Macaca mulatta: one gene and its partners. The protein of the gene in region 2 interacts with the protein of the main gene of each other region in a biochemical or structural test. Links are inferred from orthologs where the notes say so. Each region holds a gene or a part of one and is shown on either strand. Other genes may lie near its edges. The genes, in order: MAPT, SRPK2 and HNRNPC.

Evidence for each region.
Region 1: of the proteins of SRPK2 (region 2) and MAPT, one has a biochemical effect on the other in vitro, tested with the Homo sapiens proteins (2 studies listed by BioGRID, with this or other methods). The link is inferred for Macaca mulatta from reciprocal best matches to the Homo sapiens genes SRPK2 and MAPT.
Region 3: of the proteins of SRPK2 (region 2) and HNRNPC, one has a biochemical effect on the other in vitro, tested with the Homo sapiens proteins (2 studies listed by BioGRID and IntAct). The link is inferred for Macaca mulatta from reciprocal best matches to the Homo sapiens genes SRPK2 and HNRNPC.

What each region holds. Positions count from the first base shown.
Region 1 is NC_133421.1:70,919,209-70,922,857, forward strand, and holds part of MAPT (microtubule-associated protein tau), read left to right. Parts: intron 1-235; coding exon 236-348; intron 349-3,649. UniProt on the Homo sapiens protein: Promotes microtubule assembly and stability, and might be involved in the establishment and maintenance of neuronal polarity.
Region 2 is NC_133408.1:144,729,362-144,733,010, forward strand, and holds part of SRPK2 (SRSF protein kinase 2), read right to left. Parts: intron 3,093-3,649; coding exon 2,927-3,092; intron 1,734-2,926; coding exon 1,708-1,733; intron 1-1,707. UniProt on the Homo sapiens protein: Serine/arginine-rich protein-specific kinase which specifically phosphorylates its substrates at serine residues located in regions rich in arginine/serine dipeptides, known as RS domains and is involved in the phosphorylation of SR splicing factors and the regulation of splicing.
Region 3 is NC_133412.1:94,117,285-94,121,033, reverse strand, and holds the start of HNRNPC (heterogeneous nuclear ribonucleoproteins C1/C2), read left to right. Parts: upstream 1-1,497; 5' UTR 1,498-1,669; intron 1,670-2,298; exon of another isoform or gene 2,299-2,344; intron 2,345-3,749. UniProt on the Homo sapiens protein: Binds pre-mRNA and nucleates the assembly of 40S hnRNP particles. Interacts with poly-U tracts in the 3'-UTR or 5'-UTR of mRNA and modulates the stability and the level of translation of bound mRNA molecules. Single HNRNPC tetramers bind 230-240 nucleotides.

The DNA of each region.
Region 1 (3,649 bases), on a different chromosome or scaffold from region 2:
GGCTGGTCTCTCCTTGAAACCTCTTGCTTGGCCCTGGTTCAAGTCCTGCTGCAAACCTGGAAGTCCCGTCACTGTCTTCTTCCCTGCAGAGCAGTGGCTCCCGATCTAATTTTTGCTGTGCCCCAGCAGCCCCTGGCACTTTGCCCTGTAGACCACAGACCTCATGTAATGTGTGCTAAGTCCACGGAACTGCGGAAGATGATGGCAAGATGCTCTTGTGTGTGTTGTGTTCTAGGAGGTGGCCAGGTGGAAGTAAAATCTGAGAAGCTGGACTTCAAGGACAGAGTGCAGTCGAAGATCGGGTCCCTGGACAATATCACCCATGTCCCTGGCGGAGGAAATAAAAAGGTAAAGGGGGCGGGTTGGATGCTGCACTTGGGTATGGGCATTAATCAAGTCAAGTGGACAAAGACTGGTCCAGTTCCCAGAGGAGGAAAACAGAGGCTTCTGTGTTGACTGGCTGGATGTGGGCCCTCAGCAGCATCCAGTGGGTCTCGACTGCCTGTCTCAATCACCTTCACCAGGAGCTTTAGCACATTTCACAGCTGGGCTCCAACTGGAGAGGCTGACTGATCGGTCTTAGGTGCAACTCAGTTGCTGGAGTTTTTGTTTTTATTTATTTTTAAGTATTTGAGGCAGGGTCTTTGTATTAGTCTGTTCTCACACTGCTAATAAAGACATACCCAAGACTGCGTAATTTATAAAGGAAAGAGGTTTAATGGACTCACAGTTCCACATGGCTGGGGAGGCCTCAAAATCATGGTGGAAAGCAAAGGAGAAGCAAAGGCATGTCTTACATGGCAGCAGGCAAGAGAGCGTGTGCAGGGCAACTCCCATTTATAAAACCATCAGACCTCATGAGACTTATTCACTATCATGAGAACGGCATGGGAAAGACCCGCCCCCATGATTCAGTTACCTCCCACTGGGTCCCTCCCATGATACATGGAATTATGGGAACTACAATTCAAGATGAGATTTGGGTGGGGACACAGCCAGCCCGTATCATTCTCCCTCTGTCATCCAGGCTGGAGTGCATTAGCATGATCTCAGCTCACTGCAGCCTCTACCTCCCTGGGTCAGGTGATCCTCCCACCTCAGCCTCCCAAGTAGCTGGAACTACAGGTACCTGCCACTATGCCCGGCTAAATATTTTGTATTTCCTGTGGAGACGAGGTTTTGCCATGTTGCCCAGGCTGGTCTTGAACTCCTGAGGTCAAGCAATATGCCCACCTCAGCCTCCCAAGGTGCTGGGATTACAGGTGTGAGCCACAGTGCTTGGCCTAAGTGGCTGCAGTTTTTAAAGCTCCCAGGTGATTCTTTAGTGCAGTCAAAAGTGAGAACTAGCTGGGTGCGGTGGCTCATGCCTGTAATCCCAGCACCTTGGGAGGCCAAGGTGGGCAGATGGTTTAGTAGAGATGATCTCTACTAAAAATACAAAAGTTAGCTGGGTGTGGTGGTGCATGCCTGTAATCCCAGCTACTTGGGAGGCTGAGGCATGAGAATCGCTTTAACCCAGGTGGCAGAGGTTGTAGTGAGCCAAGATCATGCCACTGCACTCCAGTCTGGGGAACAGAGTGAGACTCCATCTCAAAAAAAAAAAAAAAAAAAATGAGAACCACTGTCCTAGGCCCTGATGTTTGCAGACAACTAAAAAAGGAAGTGGACATCCCCAGTCACCTGTGGCGCACCAAGAACACATGGGAACATAATCTAATTTTCTAAATGGGTTACTAGGCACTTAGAGCAAAACAATGATGCTGAAATCCTGATTTCAGGAAAGCCTCTGCCTGCCTGTTGTGGAAGTGTCCACACGAGGCTCCTGGGGCCTTGGTGTCCCCAGCAGTTTCTAGTCTCCAGGTCTTGCTGTGGGTGTCTGTGCAGTGAGGGTGTGTGTGGCGCTAAGCGAGATCTGTCTAGGGCTGGCACAGGATGCGGTCTGGTAGCTGCTGCTTCTCTTCTGCAGAAGCGCAGCCAAGCACCCTCTGGGGTTTCCTGCCCACACCCAGCCTGAAGTTCTGGGAGTGGCTCACTTTCCAACCTTCAGGGTCTCCCAGGAGCTGACTGGGGCGTGGTAGAGGGAAAAGGATTGTATTAGTCTGTTTTCATGCTGCCGATGAAGACCTATCGGATACTGGGCAATTTACAAAAGAAAGAGGTCTGATGGAGTTACAGTTCCACGTGGCTGGGGAGGCCTCACAATCATGGCGGAAGGTGAAAGGCTTGTTTCACATGGTGGCAGACAAGAGAAGAGAGCTTGTGCAGGGGAACTCCCCTTTATAAAGCCATCAGATCTCGGGAGACTTACTATCATGAGAACAGCACTATCATGAGAACATAGGGGCAGGGAAAACCCGCCCCTACGATTCAATCCTCTCCCATCGGGTCCCTCCCACAACGTGTAGGAATTGTGGGAACTATAATTCAAGATGAGATTTGGGTGGGGTCACAGCCAAACCGTATCGGGGTGTCCCAGAAAGGGTGTGGGATCTGAGACCCAGCTCGGCGTGAGGAAGTTTGCTTCTCGAGGTGGCCCAGTCGGGTGGAAGTGGCAACCAGGCTGTCTCTCCACCAGGCCACTCAGGTGGCAGCTGAGAGACCCCTGCCCTGGTCAGTCTCCGCCCTCCCCTCTTGCCACTGCATCTGGTTCTGAACAGATGGGCACCCTCATCTTGTGTTTGTGATAAATGTCTAACCATGTAGTTTTGTGAGAAGTGTTTGCCGCAGATGCTGTAAACTGTGGCCTGGGGCAGACCTCACCTCCAGACAGGCCCTGAGGCTGGCGAGGGCACTGGTCCATAGTAGCTGGCCGAGAGCTCTCAGGTTGTGCCATGCAGGACACAGGGATACTTTTCAGTGCCTGGGTCACTATCCAAAGTGAGAAAACAGCGGGGGACCAGGAGGCTGCCCGCCTCAAGGGATGTGGGGGCCGGGCCCAGTTATCTGAGGAAGCAGTCAGCTTCTCTGCTGTTTCCACCACCCAGGCCGCCCCTGGTCTAAGGCAGGGCCTCCCAGCCTTGGGGCGCTTTAAAGATACCTGGGCCTGGCCCCGTCCCCACAGTCTGACTGAGTGGGTCGGGATAGGGGCATGGGCATTGGCGATTTCCTGGGTGAAGGGAGGCCCGCTGCAGTCTCTGGAAGCTTCTCTGTGTTAGGAAGAGCTCTGGGCTTGACTCTGCTCGGAGAGTCAAGATCCGCAAATCCTCTCAGCCTCAGTTTCTCCTTCAGCAAGATGAAATGGAAATGCTGTACCTACGTCCCAGGGTGGTTGTGAGACCCCCCCCCCCCAAAAAAAACAATGTTCTGGAAGGTTCCTGGTGCGTTGCAGTCCTCTAAGAACCTGAGTTAGAGCCATGCTGAGTCTCAGCTTCTTGGCTCCTTCTGTTTCCAACTTGTCCATGTGATGGCTCAGGAAGGTGGGCAGGGCCCTGCCCCTACTCAGAAAACATCATCCTGGTCCCAGGGATCCCCGCAGCGTTAGTCCCGTTTTCCGTGTGTTGAGAAAAATTGCTAACAAGCAGTGGGGCACACCACCAGCCTCCTGGGTTCCTTTCAGTTTGGGGATTTTTGGACATTCCCAGGAATGTCAACTTTCTCTTAAAAAACACTTCAAAAAACATTAACATAAATATTTTTATCAAAGCTTGTA
Region 2 (3,649 bases):
AGAGAACTGAAGTTTGAAATTCTCTTGGCCTTAAAGGAGAAGCTCCTCTTGCAAGTTTTATTTGCTGCTGTCTATATACAAAGTAACAACATCCCACCTCCTCAATGCCAAAAATGAAGCAGGTGCCTGAGCAGGTGTATGTCACTGTGTGTCTGGGGCTCACATATGAAGCTCTTAGCAGCCAAGACAACATGAATTCTAAGAGATAAGCCTATTCAGCAAAGGGAAAAAAGAAAAAGCCACAGCTTTTGTCTGCCTCCCATCATGGCCACCCGACTTGCCAAGCACTGGCAATGAAAGACTCCAACCTTTCAAACAATCAGTGAACTCAGGCAGCTCAAGCCAGGGAAAAACTATGGGAAACAATCCGGGCGTCTCAGCAGGCCAGGAAGCGTAATTATTACAGCTTCCTCTTGTTCCAGAACTTACATTCCAAATCAAGGGCTGTCTCAGTAAACATAGTGTTTTGCTGTTGTTTTGTTTTTGGTTTATTTTTTCTTTGAGACTGAGTCTCGTTCTGTTGCCCAGGCTGGAGTGCAGTGGTGTGATCTCAGCTCACTGCAACCTCCACTTCCCGAGTTCAAGTGATTCTCATGTCTCACCCCCTCAGGTAGCTAGGAGTACAGGTGCACGCCATCACACCCAGCTGATGATGATGATGATATTATTATTATTGACACGGAGTCTCGCTCTGTCGCCCAGACTGGAGTGCAGTGGCATGGATCTCGGCTCACTGCAACCTCCACCTCCTGGGCTCAAGCGATTCTTCTGCCTCAGCCTCCTCAGTAGCTAGGATTACTGGTGTCCACCAGCACACTCGGCTAGTCTTTGCATTTTTGGTAGAGATGGGGTTTCACCATGTAGGCCAGGCTGGTCTCGAATTCCTGACCTCAAGTGATTCAGTGGCCTCGGCCTCCCAAAGTGCTGGGATTACAGGCATGAGCCACCACACCCAGTATCTAACAAGGACATACAGTTTTGACGGGACCACAAAATAGATCAGTCTCTTTCTTATTTAATATCTGGATGGAAAAAAATTAGAACAACAGCTTCAGAAAAACAGGTAACTTAGCAGCCAATCAGAAATAATGTAAAGTGATTTTGAAATAAAAATACTTCAACTGCATCACCTCACATTTCACTGAACTTGGCCAACGACAGTCCAGAAAATGCATAAAGAAGACAATCTTTGAAAGGCTCTAACTATCCCAACTCTGCAAAGATACGAAAAATTAACAAGACAGGCTGGATGTGGTAGCTCACGCCTGTAATCCCAGAACTTTGGGAGGCCGAGGTGGGCAGATCACTTGAAGTCAGGAGTTCGAGAACAGTCTGGCCAACACGGTGAAACCCCATCTCTACTAAAAATACAAAAATTAGCTGGGTGTGGTGGCGGGTGACTGTAATCGCAGCTACTTGGGAGGCTGAGGCACAAGAATTGTTTGAACCCGGGAGGGGGAGGTTGCAGTGAGCCAAGATGGCACCACTGCACTCCAGCCTGAGTGGCAGAGCAAAACTCAGTATCAAAAAAAAAAAAAAAAACAAAAAAAAATTAACAAGACAGTAAGTCTTACCTATTTGAGGATACACAACTTTTATAAATGTGTTCACCCTTTAAATACACAACTTTTTAATAATTTGAACAACTCAATAATAAATGGTCTCTTTTGACATGGTGCATATAAAGTAGTATGTGTAAGTACTTACAGGTTTCTGCTGTGGAGCCGTACTCACTAAAACAAAATGAAACAAAATCGACATTTAGCAGAAAACAGACACATACCTTCACGTAGGTCATTCGAATTGCAAAGTGAAATAATTATTGTCTTTTAATGGCTATCCAACTTCAAAAACTATTAATCAGAGCTTCTTAATCACAGGAATCTAGAGAAAGTTTATGCACTGAAACAAATGAGTGACTCTTGAAGGCATAGCAGAAGTTGCTCACACTGAGCCATTTCTCTTATTTATCTAAAATGAAATACTAATACATCTCAAAAACAGTCAAGCCCAAAGCACCAACAGATAAGAAAATGGGAAAGAATTCATACATATCACAGTCATTAAACCAAATTTGTTTAAAATATAATGAAATGAACAATTTAGATTAGATGTACATCTATATTTGAAATCTATTTTGCAAGCTTTCTACAATTTAAATCAAATATTGCAGTTGGTATGCAGCAAACAGTCTGGGAATCACATGATTAAACCCCTACACCAGGGCCAAAAGTTTGACAGGCTGGGTCCATGATCTAAACAACACCCTGATGGCAGTAAAGGAGATGTGAAGAGAGCCCCAGGCAGTCCCAGGAGCCTCAGCCCTTTAGTATACATGCTTGCATGACAACACACAAAGGCACAGACCACGGTGTCGAAGAGTGAGAAACACAGTCCACACTTCACTGCACCACCACCCCGACCCCAGCCCAGAAGTAAAAATATCCCAATACTCAGGTCACTTGGTCTTCTTCCCCCACCATCAGGCCTTTTCTAAACTAACTCCAAATCTGTTGATAAAACTCAGATTGACATAGCTATGCTAAATGGACAACAGGAATTACTGTAACAAAACTGAAGCTAGAAAAATATTCTGATGACTAAAGGTCAGCTACAGGAAAGCTGTTACTATGTTCTCCTCTGCAGAGAAGTGGGCAACAGAAAAAAATGTTCAAATATAGATGAAGCAGCAACTACAAATTTAAATGGCCTTTTAAAGGGGGACAAAAGTAAATAATTTTAACATTAAAATATAATGTAGCTGGGGTATTTTCCATTTCAAGAAAAGGGTGCAGTTATTTCCAGCAATTAAACTTTTCCAAAAAGTTCCTTATATGTAACATTTGATTCAGATACCTTCAACAACTGCAACTTTGCAAGCTCACAACGCCCCCAAACTGAAATGAAGCTAGCTCAGCTCCCTCACCTGCAGACCCTGAAGGAGGAGGAGCACCTGCTTTCTGCCACTCAGTGGCCTCAGCTGCCATTCTTCTCACATAGGCATCATCCACACACATCAAGATGTTTTCTGGCTTTATGTCAGTATGAATGATCTTGCACTTACTGTGTAGATAATCTAACCCTTGAAGGACCTGGATATAGTAAAATCAAGAGAGAAGATAAGCTATTAATACTTCATTATATAACTTTTATTTATTTGAAAAACATGTAATACGATGACAAGGTACAAAGTTTGATAAACACAAAAGGATATTTAGTAAAAATCTCCCTCCCATGACTACCTGCATAGGAATCCAGCTCTCCTTTCTATAAGCAACAAATATGTATAATTTCAGAGATTATTTATGCTCATGGAAGCAAATGCATCTACATACAGTTGAACCTTGAACAACATGGGTTCACTTATACCCATATTTTTTCTGCCACCTGAGACAGCAAGACCAACCCCTCAGCCTACTCAACGCGAAGATGATGAGGATGAAGACCTTTATGATGATCTACTGAATATGATCTATCTACTTAATGAATAGTAAGTATATTTTATCTTCCTTATGATTGTCTTAACATTTTCTTTTCTCTAGCTTACTTTATTGTAAGAATATGCTATATAACACGTTAATCAACTGGTCATGTCATCAGTAAGGATTTTGATCAACAGTATGCCAGTAGTCAAGTCAGAAGCCAGATC
Region 3 (3,749 bases), on a different chromosome or scaffold from region 2:
GGAGGTTGCAGTGAGCCAACCTCGCTGGAGGTCGTCACTCAGGATTTCCTTAGGCTGCCGGAAATCCGAAGTCTGGGCGAACCTTTTACTAGGCGCCTTAAGGAGCAGCGATATGCCGGGCGCGGTGGCTCAAGCCTGTAATCCCAGCACTTTGGGAGGCCGAGACGGGCGGATCACGAGGTCAGGAGATCGAGACCATCCTGGCTAACACGGTGAAACCCCGTCTCTACTAAAAAATACAAAAAAAAAACTAGCCGGGCGAGGTGGCGGGCGCCTGTAGTCCCGGCTACTCGGGAGGCTGAGGCAGGAGAATGGCGGGAACCCGGGAGGCGGAGCTTGCAGTGAGCTGAGATCCGGCCACAGCACTCCAGCCTGGGTGACAGAGCGAGACTCCGTCTCAAAAAAAAAAAAAAAAAAAAAAAAAAAAAGGAGCAGCGATAGGACACCGCGGCCGCCAATCAACCTCAACTGGAGGCAGTTGCACTCCAGCCTGGGCGACAGTGACTCTGCCTCAAAAAAAAAAAAGAAAAGAAAAGAAAAAAGAAAAAAAAAAAAAAAAGAAATGGCTCCCTTAGTAGAGCTGATGCTAATCCACTGTGTGCGCAGTTCCTATAATGTAACCAGAAGGACTGGCAGGTGACGGGGGTACGTAGGAGACAAGCCATTTTAAGAGGAGGGAAATTAAGGGAGCAGATTCGGAGGGATGGGCCAATTTTACTGGCACTTAAGATATTAGTGAGATGACTTGGGCCAGAGGCCGGGATTTTGCACTTCATTTACTTTTCATATTGGAGAGGAATAAGGAAGTCAGTTGGTTTGGATGGAATATGTGTTGTCTGAAGAAGGGTTTAATAGGCTGAGAAGCAGAGATGTCTACGAGGTAGCTGACATTCGAATCTGGACCTGAGAAAGGCTCTCGGGTTGGAAAAACGGCAGGGCTGGTTAGTTTTCTACACACTTTAACACGGCCTAGTCACCGCTGCTCCCTCCTCATTTTAAGTAAAGTTCTTTCTTTATTCATATTGCACGCCGGAGGCTTCATTTCGCGCTTTTTTTCTCCTAGGCCCGGGGCTAGGGCAAGTCCTTTGCGCCCGTCACCTAACAACGCCCCTCAAGCCCTTCCCCGCCCCCGCGCCGCCGGAAATCCGAGGTCTGAGCGAACCTTTTACTAGGCACTCTAAGGAGCAGCGATAGGACACCGCGGCCGCCAATCAGGCCTTCCAGATACCCGGATGTGAGACGGTGCGCGATACAAAGGCGAGTTTCCACCCAGAGGGTCGTCCGGTGCAATAGCCAATAAACATTCCCCAGACGATAAATGACAGGAAAATTAACCAGTTACAAACTAGTTTCTCTCACGCATGTGGAAATTCTTCTGCTTAGTCTAACCCACTGCCAATTGTGACTGGATATCATTGTGAGAAGCGGTTGAACTGTCTAATTAGGAGCGGGAGCGAAAAAACACACAGCCAATAGGAAGATTCTTAGGGATGGGGCGGGGACTAGGCCTTCGCCTCGGCGGCAGAGGAGACTCGGGGGCCATTTTGTGAAGAGACGAAGACTGAGCGGTTGTGGCCGCGCTGCCGACCTCGACCTGCAGTCGGTTTCTTCACGCCGAATCCGGGAGTAGGAGACTCAGAATCGAATCTCTTCTCCCTCCCCCCTCCTGGTAAGTGGAGAGGGCGGACGCAGGGAAGGCGCTGGGTTTTTTGGGAAGCTAGAGGGGGTGTGGGAGAGAATATGAGGGAACCCTTCCCCCTAACTAACCGGGCCCTCATTTATTCTGTTTGTTTTGGGGGATTAGGTCTGAAGCGGGAGGCGGTTTTACAGGCCTCAGCCTCTGCGTAGGTTTAACCTGGTGTCCTCTGGGCCACGATCGCCAGGGAAAATGCCCTTTTTTCGCTCTTCCTGTGTTAACGGCTGCTTTCCTTTCATTTTCTACGACCGCGAGGACTCCGGGATCCTGAAAATGAAGATCGCGATGTTCATTAATATAGTCGAAGTTAACATAGCGCCGATGCCTTCTATTACCTCGGTTCTTCTTACATGTAAAAATTGGGGGAGGGGGAGGGGGAAGGTTACCAAGTAGATGTATCGCGAGCCTTTAAATCCTGGATCGTGCCGCGTGGCCTATGAGAAAGGTTTAACAAAAGATTTAGCATTTTACTGATAACTTTTTATTTTATTCCTCTCTATGAGCAAATAATGGAGCTCGAAGTAGTTATTTTCACTTACGTTTGTAAAAGGAAATATTGTGTATAACTATATTAATAATTACAGCTGACTTTTCATCTGCAGGTTACAAAACACTTGAAATATATAAGTTAGTGGAACTTTGCTTGAGGTAGGTATTAACTCTCTTTCTCAGACAGAAACTGAGGCAAAGTGTTGATTGCTAGGGTCATAATTAAGTCAGTAGCAGAACTACTAAGGAATTTGACCACGAGGTCAGTCGAGTGGTTTTTACCTGGTTAATGGAATACCGGGTTCTAAAAGTACAATATTTGAATCTTTGCAAGAACCTGATGACGGAAACCACGAGGTAACTGGAAATTCCCAAATTGCGCTTAAGAAAAATACTACGAGACTTGAGAATTTGTTGTTAACGTAACTTCCTAAGTGTAAGATGACAAAATTTGACTTTCGGGTTATTCTGATGTTAATTTTCCCGTCCACCTAAACTTGGGCAAAAATTCACAGCTACATTTTATTAAGCAAATATTAACAGTGCTGTTATTTGCTCGGTGCTGAAATTTGATAAAAAACTTGTAAGTTAAAGTTACAGATCTTTAGTGTCACGTTCACTTATCTGGGAAATCGGTTTTTTAAATCCTCACATGAGATTTGGTTATTTTTTACAATCTGTTAATTTCACAAAAACTAAAGCTGTTAAGCACAGTTTAAACCAATTCTGCCGGGTAAGAAATTTATCTGTAAGGCAACCTATTTGATAGGAAGTAAAATAAGGGTCAAAAACATCGCGACCCCTTTAAGTTTAAATATATTATTACAGGAACTTAAAACTAAAGTTTATCATCGTGCTAAACTGTTAGAAATGAGGTAAAGGCAAAAATAGATTAATGGGGAAATCATGTAGTAAAAATGTTGGCAATGAGAAATGTCAGAAGTTAGTATTTAAGAACAGTTGATAATAGCTGAAATTGATTGACAGGCACTTTTCTTTGCCTTTGAGGTGTTAGAAATACGGGTTCCTTCCGATCAGTATGTATATCAGATCAGTATGTATATCAGCGTACCAAAAATTCTTTAATATCAAGAACTGTTTGCCACGGCATTTATATCACAATTCCAGGTGTGTTCTCAACTGGATAGGCATTTAGTAACATTTTCGTATTGGCTAGCGTATTGGCTAGGGGGAAAAGTTGAAGGATGGCCAGGTTGCAGGTTTTCTGACCTTTTTTTCCCCCCATTCGTGTGCCACTCTTGGGAATACTTGGTAGTTGATGTTCCTTCTGTGGAGAATTTAAACAGCTTACGTTTGTAATTAAATCTCTTAGAGGATTTGACATGGCATTCGACCTTGTTTTGGATGGAATGGCAGTGCGACACAAAGAATAAACTCAAATAGCTAGTTGCTCTAATTTTAAAGACTAAGGGGCAAATTATTAAAACTTAATATTAAGTGTTGAATGTGAGGTGTTGAATAGGGAGTAAGTTTGCCTAGGAGGAGAAATAGATTTTAATCCTCCTTGCTTAAATAAGAGGACTTAGACTTTTTTTTTTTTAAC